4 linked regions of the Drosophila melanogaster genome follow. The protein of the gene in region 1 interacts with the protein of each later gene in a pairwise test. Each region holds a gene or a part of one and is shown in the gene's direction. Other genes may lie near its edges. The genes, in order: CG13965, RpLP2, BORCS6 and NC2alpha.

Region 1 (3,470 bases):
GACACTCACGTCTCGAACTTCCGACGATCGACAGAACTATGAGTTGACTGGGTGGAATGCGCTGCAATTAAATGCAACCACGATCCCAACCCGTTCGACTGGAAATCACCAAGGTGAGAGCGTCGGGGCCCGGGGTTATCAGCCTGGGGATTACACGATAGGGAAATCAGAAGCCCATAACTCAATCTCATATGCGCAAATCATCAATTATCATTTTCCCGAATCTAGGAGCCTTTAACTTACTTACTAGTTCTTAATGCACCGAAAGAAAACTCCAAGCAGTCCCACATTCAGTGAAGAACCTTGTACTCAGATTTACACGATCGAAAGCATTAAATATTATATGCAAATATTAAAAACTCATGAAAATATAATCTAAAAGTTGTTTATTGTGTTAGGAAGTACATTTCAAGATTGAAATAAAACTAAGATATTATTGACTATCTGGACTCGGAGATTTTTCACAGTATTTATCGGAGAGTGTTAGTAGAGTCCGTAGCCGTAGGGCGAACCATATCCGCCTCCTGGACGCGGAAAGCTGGGCACAGAGATCACTGGTCTTCGGGGAATCAAATAGACCTGCGGGTAGCTAAATCCTGGTGGCTTCAGAGCCACATCCTCGTCCTTATCCTTTTCACCAGACTTGTCCTTGGGCTTATCTTCGCCGGAGTCTTCTTCGTGATCGTGATTGTGGTTGTGGGGGTATCCGAAACCGGGACTGGGAGGTCCGTATCCTGGGAAGCTGGGCCAGTTACGAGGCTGAGGGAACACCTGGGGTTGGTAGGGCGAGTACGGTGATCTGAAGGTCGGATAGGAGGGATATCCAGACAGCTCCGGCGATTCCTTGTCCGCATCTTTGGCAGTGGGCGGTGTGGTCGATGGAGGAGTAAGCTTAGGTCCCGCGGCAGAGAATATCACTCCTGGATGGGGGTAGGGATACTGAATGGGGTAGGGATAGGGGTGAGGATGCGGATAAGAATGGGGATGAAAGTGGGGCTCATGCTTATGGGGCTTTGGCGTTGTGGTGGTGGTCGTCGTAGGGGTCGTGGTTTCCGGTTCCGGAGTGGTGGACTCTGGAAGCGCAGATCCATCATTGTTTTGTTGCAAGCCATCATCCAGTTGACCCAGTCCGTCATCGGGAGCAGCGGTGGCCTCACCCTCCTGCTCTATTGCGGGCTTCGTGGTGGTTTCTGGCTTTGGAGTTGTGGTTTCCGGCTCGGGAGTGGTGGTGGTCACCTTCTTGTGGGGATGATGAGGCTGATATTGGGGGGGCAGGTGGGGCTCCGGCAGATGCGTATCATCGGTAGTCTCCTCTTCGCTGTAAAGCGAGGCATCGATTTGCTTTTTAGCCTCGTCGAGCGACAACTGAGCGTAACTCAGCGCCAGCAGCTAGAATTAAAATGTATGTTAAGTTAATCATAGTTCGAGCCATTTTGTCCTGGCCAAGATCTGGCACCAACCTGGCTAATTAGAAGCAACTTGATGAACATCCCAACCGACTGAGTTCAACTAGCAAGGGCCAAGCGAAAACTGATTGTTCTCTGCCGGCCATAGCTGACTTATATAGCTCCAGAATCGCCCACCATTATGGAAATCGGTAAGCCAACAATTACAGACAGCCCCAGAGCAATCAGCTCTCTATCTCTCTCGAAAAACCCGATTGGCATCAGGTGTTGGATGCGTCTGCCGGAATTTCCCGGACTGCGTTCGCAAATTAAAGATCGCCATCTATCAGTTGGTCACTAAGAGAATTAGTTCTGCCCGCAGAACCAGGCAGCGATTCCCGCAATCAATTTAGAACTGCTCCAATCGATTCCACCTGCGCAGCGACTATAAAAGGTGGCTTTGCCCAGTCGGCGCTTCTGGTTTCGACGCAGTATAGGTACACATACTATGTGTCAGGTGTGACGATAGGCATGGCGAAACTTGAACTGAAGCTGGTGAGTGCCAATGGGGCATTCCCTCATTATTGCACATAATCGAACGTTTCTTTGTTCTAGATTGGAATCGCTATATTCTTGGTAGCCGCGCTCGAGGCTCAGGAAACCCCTGCGGCTGAATCATCTCCAGCGTCCCCAACAGATGGCGAAACGTCTCCAGTTACAGAAGCCAGTTCCATCGGAGAATTAACTCAGACCACAGAAGCGGGGTCGGAGGTCACAGAATCACCAACAAATAGCACCGATATGGTTAATAGCACGGACAACCCAGACCCGAACGGCTCGCCTGACCCTGAAAATGGAGGAGATCCATTTGTGAAGCCAGGAAGCCATATAAAGGGACCTCGACACGTTAGAGCACATGATGGCTTCCACAGCCTGAAGACGGAGAAGCATTGGGCAAGCTGGAACGATGCCTTTACCACGCCACGTCCCTAGCTCATATGTATATCCCATTATACCCTTTCGTTTTGTGACCAATCTCTGAAGATTATTGAATAAAAAACTAAATAATTTTAATATATTCCGTCGAAATTCGGGAACACCCTATGTGGTTTTACCAAGAACTTCACAGATGACGAATTGAATTAGTCGCCAGTCTATTGTTTCCCAATGCGGTTGATTTTTTTCTGCTTGGTAAGTAGAGATAAAGAAATAGTAACATTTTTATCGTATATATTATATTTTCACATCAGTGCCTCTTTTTGTCCCTGGAGCTAGTAGTGCCCAGACATGTCGTGGGCCACGATGGATACCACAACATCGAGAAGGAAAAGCGCTGGAAAAACTGGCCAGCACGTGTGAGGCACCACCATAAACAACGTAACTCCATCTGATGTCCGACAAGGTTGGGATTGCACGCGATTACTTATGGCCCGTTGCAAAGTCGTTCACAGGGCCATAATGCCTCGGATCTCGCCAGACAATGGGAAGCGGAAGCCTTGTTCATCATATCAATGGATCACTGCTTAATTGAACATTTCCACTGTTCGAATGTGTAAATAATAAATTGAATCGCATTAATTGTTGCTATCCAAGCGATATACATTTCAAATGAGGAGAAATGGATTTTATAAATATAAATTGACCCTTTCTTTAGAATGAGTAACCCCCTTTTAAAAATATGTTGTTTTTTTTTCTATTTTGAGATAAGTGACTAATGGGAAATCGATTGGTTCCATAATACATCTCAGCCCACTTAATTGTGATTTAACGTATAAGTAATTTGTCACTCCACAAACTACAGCCATGGGACCAAGGCTCTATCCCGCTGCGATCCTCATCCTCCATTGCCTGCTGTTGCTCTTCCTCCAGGTGGACAGCAGAGGTAACCAGAACCACACCCAGATGGAAAGACAGCGTCATCTCCGAGCACACAATCTGCACAGGCCTCCATACGATGGATACGATTGGCACAAACAGTAAGATACAGATTCGATCGAGCTGAAGGATATATACACTTTCGAATGGCACCAACCTTTCGCTTTCAATAGCTTTAACCGAGATGCCGAACCAAAGGCGACAGTTGCA
Region 2 (3,218 bases), on another chromosome or scaffold:
ACATGTGGAGCAGGATCTTTCGGATCTTATAGACAGACTTCCCAAATCGGGCATGTCGCCGCCCACAATTCAGGTGGGTCTCAAAATGATATCAAAATTTCAGAAAATGGTATATGAAATTATTTCCTATTGCAGCGCTTGTCAAGGGAACTACTGACCGGTGTGGACTTCTTACACTCACACCGTATCATCCATCGGGATCTTAAGCCGCAAAACCTGCTGGTCTCCTCGCAGGGCCACCTCAAGATCGCCGACTTTGGCTTGGCCAAGACCTACGGTTCGGAGATGAAGCTCACCTCCGTGGTGGTCACCTTGTGGTACCGCGCACCCGAGGTTCTGCTCGCCCAGCCCTACAACAGCACCGTGGACATCTGGAGTGCCGCCTGCATCATCTTCGAGATGTTCAATCGGCGCGCCCTATTCCCGGGCACCTCCGAAAAGAATCAGCTGGACCGCATCTTCGAGTGAGTGCACAAATACTGCCATTGAAATCGGTGATTTTTAATTACATTTATGCGATTTCACGCAGACTGACCGGTAGACCCACCGAGCAACAGTGGCCACAGACCATTTCCGTGGCCCTGGAACACTTTCCCCAGCGGCATCCAAAGAGACCAAAAGACTTTTGCCCACACCTGTGCAAGTACGCCGATGATCTGTTGAATGTGAGTATGAAAATGAAGATACATATCTTGTTGCATGGTCTAGACTAACGCATACCCTATGTTTGCCCGCAGAAAATGCTTTCCTACGACCTCCACCTGCGACCATCCGCCTTGGCCTGTTTGGAGCACGATTACTTTCAGCAGGAACCCCTATAGTCTCGATGCCCAGAAGGATAATGGATAATGGATTATGGATTATGGATTATGGATTATGGATGTGGAAGTGAAAGTGGCAGTGGACTGATCATTGCGGCCGCGCTTCGTTCTTGTTACCAATGTTCCTTTAAGTGTAGTGAAGCATTTTGTTTATTTTTTCGCGACAGTCCAGTTATTGTGTCCGGGGATACGGATCCGGAATAAAGAATACCTTAATTTGTTTGTAGTCGTAAGTTAAGTGTGAATACTACTGCCGATCAACTATCTGATGACCATTACATGTGAAACGATTCTCGAGGGCGTTTGAAGGCCCTCCAAATCGAAATGTGATACACAAAGTTCAGGAATGCATTATACAATTTCAAAATTTTGTACAACAATCATTTATATATGCAATTATATATACAGCATACAATAAGATGGGTCTCATGTCTTTTCTGCAATTTATTTCAAGTGGGGGTGCAACTTAAATTTAAAGTGTTTTTGAAGAATAATAAATATCTCATATTAAACATATTTTCGAAAAAAATTTATTTTTTATACAGCTTTTTCGAGTTTTATTACAGTTTTATATTTATGTGTACAAATAACAGTTAAGTTCTGCTGTTAAAACGATGGTCATGTTAATCATCGATAGCCAGCTGTTAACTTTTACGCATCCCTAGTTCCTTCTCTTAGCTTACGATCACTCTCATTTTGCTCTCTTTCCAGCACTTAACAGTATGTTAGACCTCGCCTAACAGAACCGTTTCAAATGGTGTGACCGCCTACTGCAAGAGCAAAGTGCTTCCCACTATTACGATAGCCAAGTTTGAAACCCAGTGTTGCAACTGATAACATTTCCATGCTGTAAGAAAGGTCATATTATTAAGCTAATATAAATACTTTTTGATGTTGTAAATATAAAAAAAACACACCAAATTGTTCAAAAATCAATAATATTGCTCTAATTTTTATTTAAAAGCAAAATTGAAAATAATATTTGAATTTATCGTTTCATTAGGGGTATTGCTAGATAAGGATGTGGTATACTTTGGTATATATAAGTATGAGCTGGTATTTTCGAGCCTCGACCGCGCGGCCACACTGACTTCCGCCTCTTTTTCGACGACAACTTGCAAAGGAAAGTTGTGTTTTTCGTACATTTTGCCAATTCACGTTTCGTGTCAAGAACCCAAGACTTAAACATGCGTTACGTGGCTGCTTACCTTCTGGCCGTCCTCGGTGGCAAGGACTCGCCCGCCAACAGCGATCTGGAGAAGATCCTCAGCTCTGTGGGCGTTGAGGTCGACGCCGAGCGTCTGACCAAGGTCATCAAGGAGCTGGCTGGCAAGAGCATCGACGACCTGATCAAGGAGGGTCGCGAGAAGCTCTCCTCGATGCCGGTGGGCGGCGGTGGTGCCGTCGCAGCCGCTGATGCCGCACCCGCTGCCGCCGCCGGTGGCGACAAGAAGGAGGCCAAGAAGGAGGAGAAGAAGGAGGAGTCCGAGTCCGAGGATGACGACATGGGCTTCGCTCTCTTCGAATAAGCGGTTGAATGTGGCGAATATACTGTGCAACACACTTGCGAGGCGAGAAAGCAGCGTTCTGGAGCAGCCATTCATACATGGCCGGCCAGTCTACACACTTGTGTAGCACCCATCCGTTCACCATTTCTACGTAATAAAAATCAGCAGTGTTTGCACTTTATATAAACCAAGTGAAATTGTGTTTTTTGTGCCGTTTATGCGGTTATTTTCATGGTTTTTGTGCCGTTTTTTCACCCATAACAGTGGATCCACGTGTTGGCTAACATTCTGTTGGACGCCTACGGAGTGGATTATGTTAACTTAACAGTCGGCGGGGTGCACTGTTAAGACAGCGCATTCTTATTGGATTTTTAGATATTTTTTAGACCTTGTGTATAACAAACAAAATAGATGGAAATTAGTAACTACACTTTCAGAAGGGCAAAAATGGATCAGAAGACGAGATGACATATTGGTAAAGATATAAAATAACCTGCTGTCCGGTTCTAGAAATCTTGTATTTATAAATATTATCTAAACTAAACAAAATATCAAACTTATAGCTTTGTGTTGGATTAGAAAGGTAGCATATACATTTTTAGGGAAGTACTTCTTTTTAGTCCCATAAAAGTTCGTCAAAATATAATATGGAATATAGAGTTTTATAAACATTCTTAATAAGTAGTTTTATATATAAATACACCGAGGAATGCGTACACTAAAACTAATTTACATAAATATGCATTCTATTTAGGCCAGGCCCACAATGGTATAGAATATCAGGGGTAGTACCAGGTTGTCCACCTGGTCGGTGAACGCCTCCACCAGAGCCGAATTCAGTGCTGCGAAAATGGTGGCGAACCACTTGGCCTGGCTCATGGCCACCAGG
Region 3 (3,947 bases), on another chromosome or scaffold:
GGAAACCCACGAGAGGGGAGGGTGGGAAATCTAGGAAGAGGGCACCAGTAAAATGTTGCAGTAAACGATTTTCCATTTCCCGCTGGGTCAGCGGGTCATCGAGTGGGCGAGCGGGAAAACGCGAGATGAATGCAATATGGAAATCAATAAATAAAAACAGCATTTTCATTTAAGTGCTCGACGAGGAAATGGTTGTGGGAAAAGGCCAGAGAAAACCCCGTTCAAGTGTCGCCCATGAAAATGGAAAATCTTTCTTCGATGCGATGTAAATAAACAGTAAGAGTGCGACAACATTTGTTTATAGAAATGGAATGGAATTTAAAGTGCGAAATAGGGAAATACTTAACAAAACAAGGATCCAGAAATTGAGTTCTTTTATTTTCGACCAACTTGCTTGTTTTTCCTATTGGATTTAGACGTTTAAAAATACATTTTTTTACAGAATATAAAAGTTAGAAGCTAATTATCGAGTAATTCCTTTCTCCTGATTCATCACATGCTTTTCTTGTCCACATATCAATCCACTTTTCCATATTATCGATGCCAAAATAAACGATTGATTGATTGATTGAAAAATCAACCCACGCATTTTAATAAAAACAACAACAATTCAAATGTGCAGTTACACACACATAACTAAAAGGGAAGAGAGTGGAAAGCCGAAAGAGAAGAAGAGCGAGAGAGAGCAAATATTATCGCAGTTATTACGAAATCGCAATCGAAACATAACGGTAGATATAGATAGGAAAAGCACCAATACAATAAAGCGAATATAACCGCTAGAGGAAGAGGGGAAGAAGTGGGTGGGTGAAAAAGAAAGATCGCTGTCTCTTTCTCGCTCTCATACTTGCTGACTGCACAATTTGCAGTTAAAAGAAAGAAGCAGAACGGCCTGAGAAGAAAGACAAAGCATAAGAGTAACTGGCCAAGAAGAAGAAAAGAACAAGAAGTCAAGAACAAAATAGAAGAGAGCACACACACACACACATTCGTACGTACCCGTAGAAAACAGAGAAGGCAAAAAAGTCTTTCCTTTTTTTTACACTTTTATCCATTTTCAGTTGCATTTTATAAGATTCTTTAGTACAAACAATTTAACTTACTTGCTTTTTTTAGCAGCCACGCATGCGTCGAATGGGAATTTATGCTCCTTGAGACTCCAATTGGAATTTGTACCCCGGCTGCAAACAGTTTTTTTTTCTCTCTTGCTTTATTTCCACACTGCACACATACACATATGCAGCGGCACATACACACAAGTGCACGCACTGCAGTCGATTTTGTTTTTTTTGCATAAAACTTTATTTCATGTATGCCACTTGTACATTGTTTGTCACCAATTTGCGTATTTTGTACATCAAATTTTATTTTACTTTTCGTTGCCTTCCTTATTATTTTCCTAATCTTCACATGCACTTTTTTAGCGACGCCAACACACACATTTGCACACGCACACACATGGCGAGGATGAGAGAGGAGAAAGAGAGCAAAACACCGTTTTCGTTGCTTCCTTTTCGCTTATTCCTCTTTAGCCGCTTCTTTTCGATTCTGGCTCTTTTTGGCACTTTTAGCCCCAAGTTGCTAGCAATTCACTTAGCGTACGAGCACTAACAATTAAAACGAATAAGACTCGAAAAATACGATGGAAACGCGAACATATAAACAAAAATCTACATTGGTTTTATTGCAGCGCTACGCAGGTGTGTTTTTACGCGCTCATCGCGCAATTAAATTAGAACGCTGCAGATTTACTTAGTTCACTCCAGTCTGCCCAATGCGCGCCGCACACCTCGGAGCCGCAAATTATAAACACGACTGTCTTCGATTTAACGGGCTGGCCTATCGGTCCTATCGATGACTCGATAGTGCGAGCTGGAGTGTGACCATTTCTTGGTAAAAGCAAAATCGTGAAGAGTAAGTGTGCGATACTATCGAACTGTCATATACTCAACCAAATAACATCTGAAATCTGTTTCTCACTAAAACCGAAATTTCCATCAGGGTTAGGAAAATATAGTTTACGCACATCAAGTTGCATAGGTCAATCCTACGTAAAAAAGGCTCGATATAGGTAAGGTGGACCTCAGCCTGAACAGGGCCTAATGCAAATACATTCGATAAATAGATGTTATCGATAACCATTTGGTATATACCAGTAAATGCTTTGTTTTGGTTTTCATTCAGAAAATTGACATACATTTCTTAGTCTGCCTAAAGTTCCTTGGATTGAAAAGAGCAGTGCAGAATGTCGCACCGCCACCAGGACATTCCCATCCGCCCACGTTACGGTTATGTGGCCGAGGAGAGTGGCCCATCGGAAGGGGCAGCCAGGAGTTCTGGATCCGGAGCCACGCCCGCCTCCTCCTACACGGAAATTCCGTTCCTGGCTCAGTATCCGGGAGCGGTGCCAGAGCACGTGCTCCAGGATCTGACGCCCACAGCCACTGGCCATGCTGCGATTCCCGGAAGCACAAAGACAAGACCCAACGGCGAGAAATACCTTAACCTGGATTCGGGCGAGGATCCCGACGAGGAAGACGATCCCTTGGAGGAGGAGGACAACAGCAACTCGAATAGCAACTCTAAGGGCAGTTCCGGCGACATCGAAAGGCACAGACTGAAGGCAGAGAGCAGTGGGTTCTAGGTTATCTACCCATAGTTCCTGACTAAAGCATCTTCCTTCTTTCAGCTGTGCCCTACGAGCTGGACGGCGAAACCAGTGACTCCGACGGGATGCGCCACTTTGTGGCCCACGATCTAGAGGCCAAGTTGCGCGAGCGCGTGGCGGCTTCGGCCTACTCCTCGGAGCACACCACGCCCCTGAGCTCCATGGGTCCCATTGGAGCCACTTCCGGCAACGGTCTGCTCACGCGGCGGTTCCTGCAGTCGCGCAACATTCCCGAAGTGGACGGCAGCGTCTTGAGCGACATCGAACTGGAGGCTCAGTACTTGGCCAGCTCGGTGGACAATCTGATGGAAAACCTGGGCAACCTGCTGCACTCAATCTCCTCCATAACGGCCGACAACGTGGAGGTCCATCGCAACGCGGTCAACAAGCTGACGGACACTTTGGACGCGAATATCAAGTGCCAGTACCAATTGCTGGCCAAGGCGGAGGAAATCACCAAGTCGATGAAACCCACAGAGCAGCTGGGTCAGCGCATGTAAGTGGGTCAATTCAAGACAGATCCCTTTAGTGTAATGGACTTTCTCTTCCGCAGAAGGCAGATCAAGCGGCTGGTGGACATGTTGGACAGCACCATGTAAAATAGGGCTACGCTATCCTGTGATCAACCAATCAAAGAGATCTTGTCTTTCTAGTCATTCCGTAAATACATATAATCAGTGTTATAAAATCCATATGGAAAGATACCTTTCGCTTGTTTAAATCGTACTTATTCTAGCAGTTCCTCCAAAAAATCCACCTCCTTGGCTCACAGCTTCTCCACCTTGGCCTTGATGATCCTTAGGGGATCCACGGGGCGATCGTTCTTGTCGGTTTCCACCATGCCGATCCGCTTGACCACCTCCATGCCCGTGTAGACCCTGCCGAAGATCGTGTGCTTGCCATCCAGCCACTGCGTGGGCGCCAGCGTGATGAAGAACTGGGACCCGTTGGTGTCCGGTCCAGAGTTGGCCATCGAGAGGATGCCCGCGCCCGTGTGCCTCAAGTCGCCGTGCAGCTCGTCCGCGAACTCCGATCCGTAGATGGAGGCGCCTCCGCGGCCAGTGCCCGTGGGATCGCCGCCCTGGATCATGAAGTCCCTGATGATCCGGTGGAACACCACGTTGTTGTAGTAGCCCCTTCTCGAGAGTTCGGCAAAGTTGCGGCAGGTGTTGGGCGCGTGTTTCCAGTACAGCTCCACGGTGATTTCTCCCATGCTGCGCGGGGCACAAATGCCACAAATAATGTGATAAACAAATGCTCAGTCTTCAGTTTCGGCGAT
Region 4 (4,466 bases), on another chromosome or scaffold:
TACGCTTCATATATATATTCCCAACCGTACATTGTGTAGAAGGTCCAAGTGAAGGCCACTAGGCTGATCAATGTTCCACTTATCAGGCACAGTTGTTGCTTGTTGGGCCGCAGGATTTGGCACAGGAAGTCGAGGGGAGTTTGTGTCAGCCGCGTTGATAGCGATAAATAGTATGCCAAACTGAATAGCAACGGATACAGACGGAGGTGTATCACTAGACCGTGAGCCAAGCCCGCTCCGAATATAAGCCAGTAACTCCTGGTGACATTGTGCTCAGATTTTAACAGCAGGTATATAGTTAGTATCACGAAGAAGCTTGAGAAGCAATCGCCGCTTCCACGTGTGGATATTACAGCCGTCAGCGGGTTGTATAACCAAAAGCAAGCAGAGGCGCGGGCCAAGTTCTCTGGATGACTTCGCTCATCCAGGGCATCCAGCGATTGGTCCGAGTCCCGTGGCCTGTTGAACTTGCTAAGCAGGTGTTGTACGGTCTTCTGGTACTGACTCTTGATTTCCATGTGCACCAGACGGTAAATAAGTGTGGCGATGAGAAGATCGAATGTCGCATACAGTAGTTTACCCCACGCCGGATGAAGCAGGATGTTAAAAGTCTGCAGATATGCCATGATTGGGCTATATCGGTAAGTATGCCTGGCGAAGGGTGTGTCCCCAGCCAGAACTTGACGGGCTCCATCAGTCACCACCTTGTAGTCTATATCGGTGTAGGGCACGGCGGACTGACTGTCGTGTAATTGTCCGTAGCAAATTAAAGCTATTCGCAGCAGGGCGGATATTAGTAGATGGGTCCGAAAGCTAGTGTAAAGGATGCGGCGACCCAGTCGCTGCCATCCAGTGGTCGCAGCCTTTGTTTGAGTCATCGTGTTTATTGTTTACGTTTGTCTAAAGCTTGGTCTTCATTTCCAAAGCGGTCTTGCGGATACAGCTTAGGAACTCCTTGAACTCGGTGTCGCAGATTTTGTGCTGCACGTTTAGATCACGCGACACGCAAACCGCATACGCAGTGGCTTTGTCCGCGCACTTGCTTAGCAGAACTGGATAGTTGCGGATTCTTTGGTTGGCTTTGCGCACCGATTCCATGCCTTAGCTTAGCGCTTGTGAGGCGGAACTTTGTTCTCCGGCGGTGGTAGGGGATCGGCGATAAAGCAGTCAAACAGGGGCTTGGAGAAGAAGATCAGAAGTGAGCCTGTGATGAAGGAGATCTGGAACAGGCGTGGATTTCGCTGAATCCACGTGCGTTTGGGTAGCACAGCGGTTCGCCTGCGCTGATTTGCTTGCTGTTGCTCCTTTTGGTCCAGCAAGTCTTGAATTTCCTTCGGAGGCCTATACTGCGGTATGGACATTATTTGTTCCTGCAAAACGAGTTGATAATAGTGTATATGGAATAGAGAAGTTGGCTACAACTCACGACTTGCCGGTTGCGTTCTTTTCCTTGGATGCGTCTGGTAGATAAGTCTTCTCCAAATCGATTCCACTGCAGCAAAGCGATTCCTTGTGCCACTTTAAACAGCACTGGCGCATTGCCTCAAGGACATCCAAGCACTTGTCCTCCTGGTAGTGATTCTCTGTAACCGAGTGCAAGTCAGCTTACATAACCATGAAAATGGAGTCACCGGCGGTGCTTACTGGTCAGACAGGCTTGTATGCGGCAGGCGTTCGGTTTGCAGGGATCCTTGCGAGTGTCAGACATGTAATCCTGCCCAGAATTCTTACGATATTAAATCGCTCTTGCAATATGTGAAAAGTACTTGGAAGTGTTCTGCACTCTTCTTCTTCTTGGCGGTTGTAGTCATTCACAGTGCACGATCAAGGTAGCCAGACTGCGCGACGGTCAGCTGTGTAGGAAACCTAATACATCAAAGCAAAATAAAAAACAATCACATAAATAACAACAAAAAGAAATAACATCTCTTATAATGTACAAAAATTTTTAATCTTTCAAATTTTGATATTAATACCTTTTGCTTCCCTGTGAATACCCCGCCTGCTGCGAGAGCAACTGCCATTCACCCATCGACGCCGACAGTTGGGCACCAAGGAACTGTTCTTGTGTGAAAAACACACACACATTTGTTTTATTTCACTAGGACTCTTGACGATTACTTCACAAATCGGAAAATGCCATCGAAAAAGAAAAAATACAACGCACGCTTTCCGGCGGTAAGTTGAAACCACCGATTGGCGACAGGAAAGCTCCAGCCATTTGGCGGCCGTGAACGCCGAAGATGGGTTATCAGTTTTCGTGCATGTGTACATACATATGTACATACACGCCTCGCATAATCAGAGGCTCAAAAGAAGTAGAGGAGAAACCAAACCGGTGCGAGATTATAATGTTTCCAAACCATTACCATAAACTCCTTGCAGGGTCGCATCAAGAAGATCATGCAAAGCGACGAGGAAATCGGGAAGGTGGCCCAGGCGGTGCCTGTTATCATCTCACGCACGCTGGAGCTCTTCGTGGAGTCGCTGCTGACCAAGACGCTGCGCATCACGAATGCGCGCAACGCCAAGACGCTATCGCCATCGCACATGAGGCAGTGTATCGTATCCGAGAAACGCTTTGACTTCCTCAAGGAGCTGGTCCGCAACATACCCGACATCAGTGTGGCCGAGGAGGCCGCCTACAACGAGGACGATGTGTTACGCAGCTCGCCAGAGGAACAGTATCCAGATTCAGACACGCCATATGATCTTAGCCTGCCATCGACGTCAATGCGCTCGCAGGCGAACGGCACAGCTGCCTACATGCGCTCCATGAGTCTGAACAACGGAGCCGGATCGGGCGGAGGAGCCGCAGCCACCAAGCGGCAGTTTCAGTCGCAGCACTCCACCCAGGAAACTCCCACCACCAGCACCACCCTGCCCGCCAAGCTGGCCCGCTCCGGGTCCATGCCGGCCTACACGCCACGGGGCAGACCGCCCAATCACCTCAAGAAACAGTCGGTGCAGCTCGATACTGCCATACCCGCCCCGATCTGCAACTACGAACTCAACAAGCCCATTGTCAAGATCGACTACAGCCACGTGCAAATGCCGACGGCGAACCTGTGCACACCGGACGCCTCTGATTCTGGGTCAGGATCGGGCGCCGGATCTGGAGCTTTTAACTTCGACATAGCTGCTCCGGTGATCAATATCGATCTGACGAATATCGTGGCCGGTGGAGCACCTGGCAGTGGTGTGCCCCCCGCCTCTATTGGATTACCAGCGGCCACGCCGGGGGACAACAATAATGTGAACCAAATGGCTGGAAAGAGCAGCGCTCCCATCATTCCAAAGGCCACAGCGGCATCAGCGACCCCCACTGAAACCGTTTTCGAATTAGACGAAGACTATGACAATATTTGATTAGGATCTATGTGAATGCGCTTTTAAATTATTGATACATTAATATGTACTCTAGGTCTAAGAAATCACAATAACATTTTTTGCAAAATAAAGACCATGCTGGATTTTAAGCTGACGCAATGCGGAGTACTTTAAATAGAGAAAGAAAATTTATACATTCTAGCAGATAATGCTGTTTAATTTGCATACGATATTAAATCAGTTTATCTTTGAATTAGATGTACTAAACAAGTTCAACAATTATTGAAAATGTTTGCATTCATAGACACCATAAAAAAGCCGCCTCTGGGCGGCCGAAAGTCATTTATGCCCATCCCAGAGGCCAAGTTAGTTGACGATGTCGTCAGCTACATCGCCAAGCCAGAGTTCTATTCGACTGTTCCAGCGGCATTGAAGATGCAACGCCTTTTCTATGTGCAATACAGCGAACTGGCTGCCAAGTTGGAGACTGACCTCACAGCAGTGTTAACCCGTTTGGAGGCTGCCAAAAATAATTTGGAATTGGTGAGGAGGTTCATAGACAATCCTGACAAGGAAGTTCACAGCCTCGTGCAAATCGCACAGGGAGTATTCAGATGGGTGAGCATACCGCCAGTGCAAAAGGTTACCCTTCAAGTGGGCGCATCTCTGCAAATGGAATTCGAGCTGTCCGAGGCGGAGGAGTTCATCAAAAAGGACATCACCAGCCTGGTGAAGCAGCAATTGCAACATGAGCACGATATCGACTATCTGCAGGATCAGGTGAACACGATTGAGATGAACCTAGCCGTATTGTATAAACATGAAGTGGAGAACTAGAAGCATCCCACCATCCTTAAAATTGCTAGTACCTTGTAGTTGCTTATAAAGACATTCGTTCTAAATAAGTCTTTATTGTCTAAATGCCTTAATTTCCAACGAAGTACAGCTCTCCCTTGGAGTTCCCCACTAATTCATTCATTACAATTACATTATTAGCAGCCCGGTAAAGAGGTCAGAGTATCGGGACCGTAGGATCCCAGACTGTGCCCTACAAAATGTGACCTTTATTACCGAGCTCGGCTATTTACAAGCCTATACACATCATAATAATTATGACTTAATTTCGCCAGGGAGCA

What was found.
Region 2: the proteins of CG13965 (region 1) and RpLP2 interact in a two-hybrid assay, tested with the Drosophila melanogaster proteins (one large-scale study listed by BioGRID).
Region 3: the proteins of CG13965 (region 1) and BORCS6 interact in a two-hybrid assay, tested with the Drosophila melanogaster proteins (one large-scale study listed by BioGRID).
Region 4: the proteins of CG13965 (region 1) and NC2alpha interact in a two-hybrid assay, tested with the Drosophila melanogaster proteins (one large-scale study listed by BioGRID).

Annotation. Positions count from the first base shown.
Region 1 is NT_033779.5:19,960,745-19,964,214, reverse strand, and holds CG13965 (uncharacterized protein), read left to right. Parts: upstream 1-1,862; 5' UTR 1,863-1,916; coding exon 1,917-1,940; intron 1,941-2,000; coding exon 2,001-2,378; 3' UTR 2,379-2,457; downstream 2,458-3,470. Other genes in the region: CG16772 (uncharacterized protein), read right to left, coding at 484-1,389, 1,461-1,490; CG42866 (uncharacterized protein), read left to right, coding at 2,553-2,576, 2,636-2,776; CG34051 (uncharacterized protein), read left to right, coding at 3,189-3,361, 3,434-3,470.
Region 2 is NT_033778.4:16,584,215-16,587,432, forward strand, and holds RpLP2 (ribosomal protein LP2), read left to right. Parts: upstream 1-1,914; 5' UTR 1,915-2,008; coding exon 2,009-2,350; 3' UTR 2,351-2,518; downstream 2,519-3,218. Other genes in the region: Cdk4 (Cyclin-dependent kinase 4), read left to right, coding at 1-73, 136-464, 530-665, 738-821; Dolk (dolichol kinase), read right to left, coding at 3,080-3,218. UniProt on the Drosophila melanogaster protein: Plays an important role in the elongation step of protein synthesis.
Region 3 is NT_037436.4:538,796-542,742, forward strand, and holds BORCS6 (BLOC-1 related complex subunit 6), read left to right. Parts: upstream 1-2,055; 5' UTR 2,056-2,145; exon of another isoform or gene 2,146-2,206; 5' UTR 2,207-2,245; coding exon 2,246-2,633; intron 2,634-2,689; coding exon 2,690-3,164; intron 3,165-3,221; coding exon 3,222-3,267; 3' UTR 3,268-3,352; downstream 3,353-3,947. Other genes in the region: Cypl (Cyclophilin-like), read right to left, coding at 3,435-3,882.
Region 4 is NT_033778.4:21,668,111-21,672,576, forward strand, and holds NC2alpha (negative cofactor 2alpha), read left to right. Parts: upstream 1-2,041; 5' UTR 2,042-2,136; coding exon 2,137-2,178; intron 2,179-2,385; coding exon 2,386-3,369; 3' UTR 3,370-3,483; downstream 3,484-4,466. Other genes in the region: PIG-M (phosphatidylinositol glycan anchor biosynthesis class M), read right to left, coding at 1-878; CG42380 (uncharacterized protein), read right to left, coding at 901-1,098; CG42379 (uncharacterized protein), read right to left, coding at 1,107-1,361; CG42381 (uncharacterized protein), read right to left, coding at 1,361-1,370, 1,427-1,583, 1,645-1,708; CG15676 (uncharacterized protein), read left to right, coding at 3,619-4,167.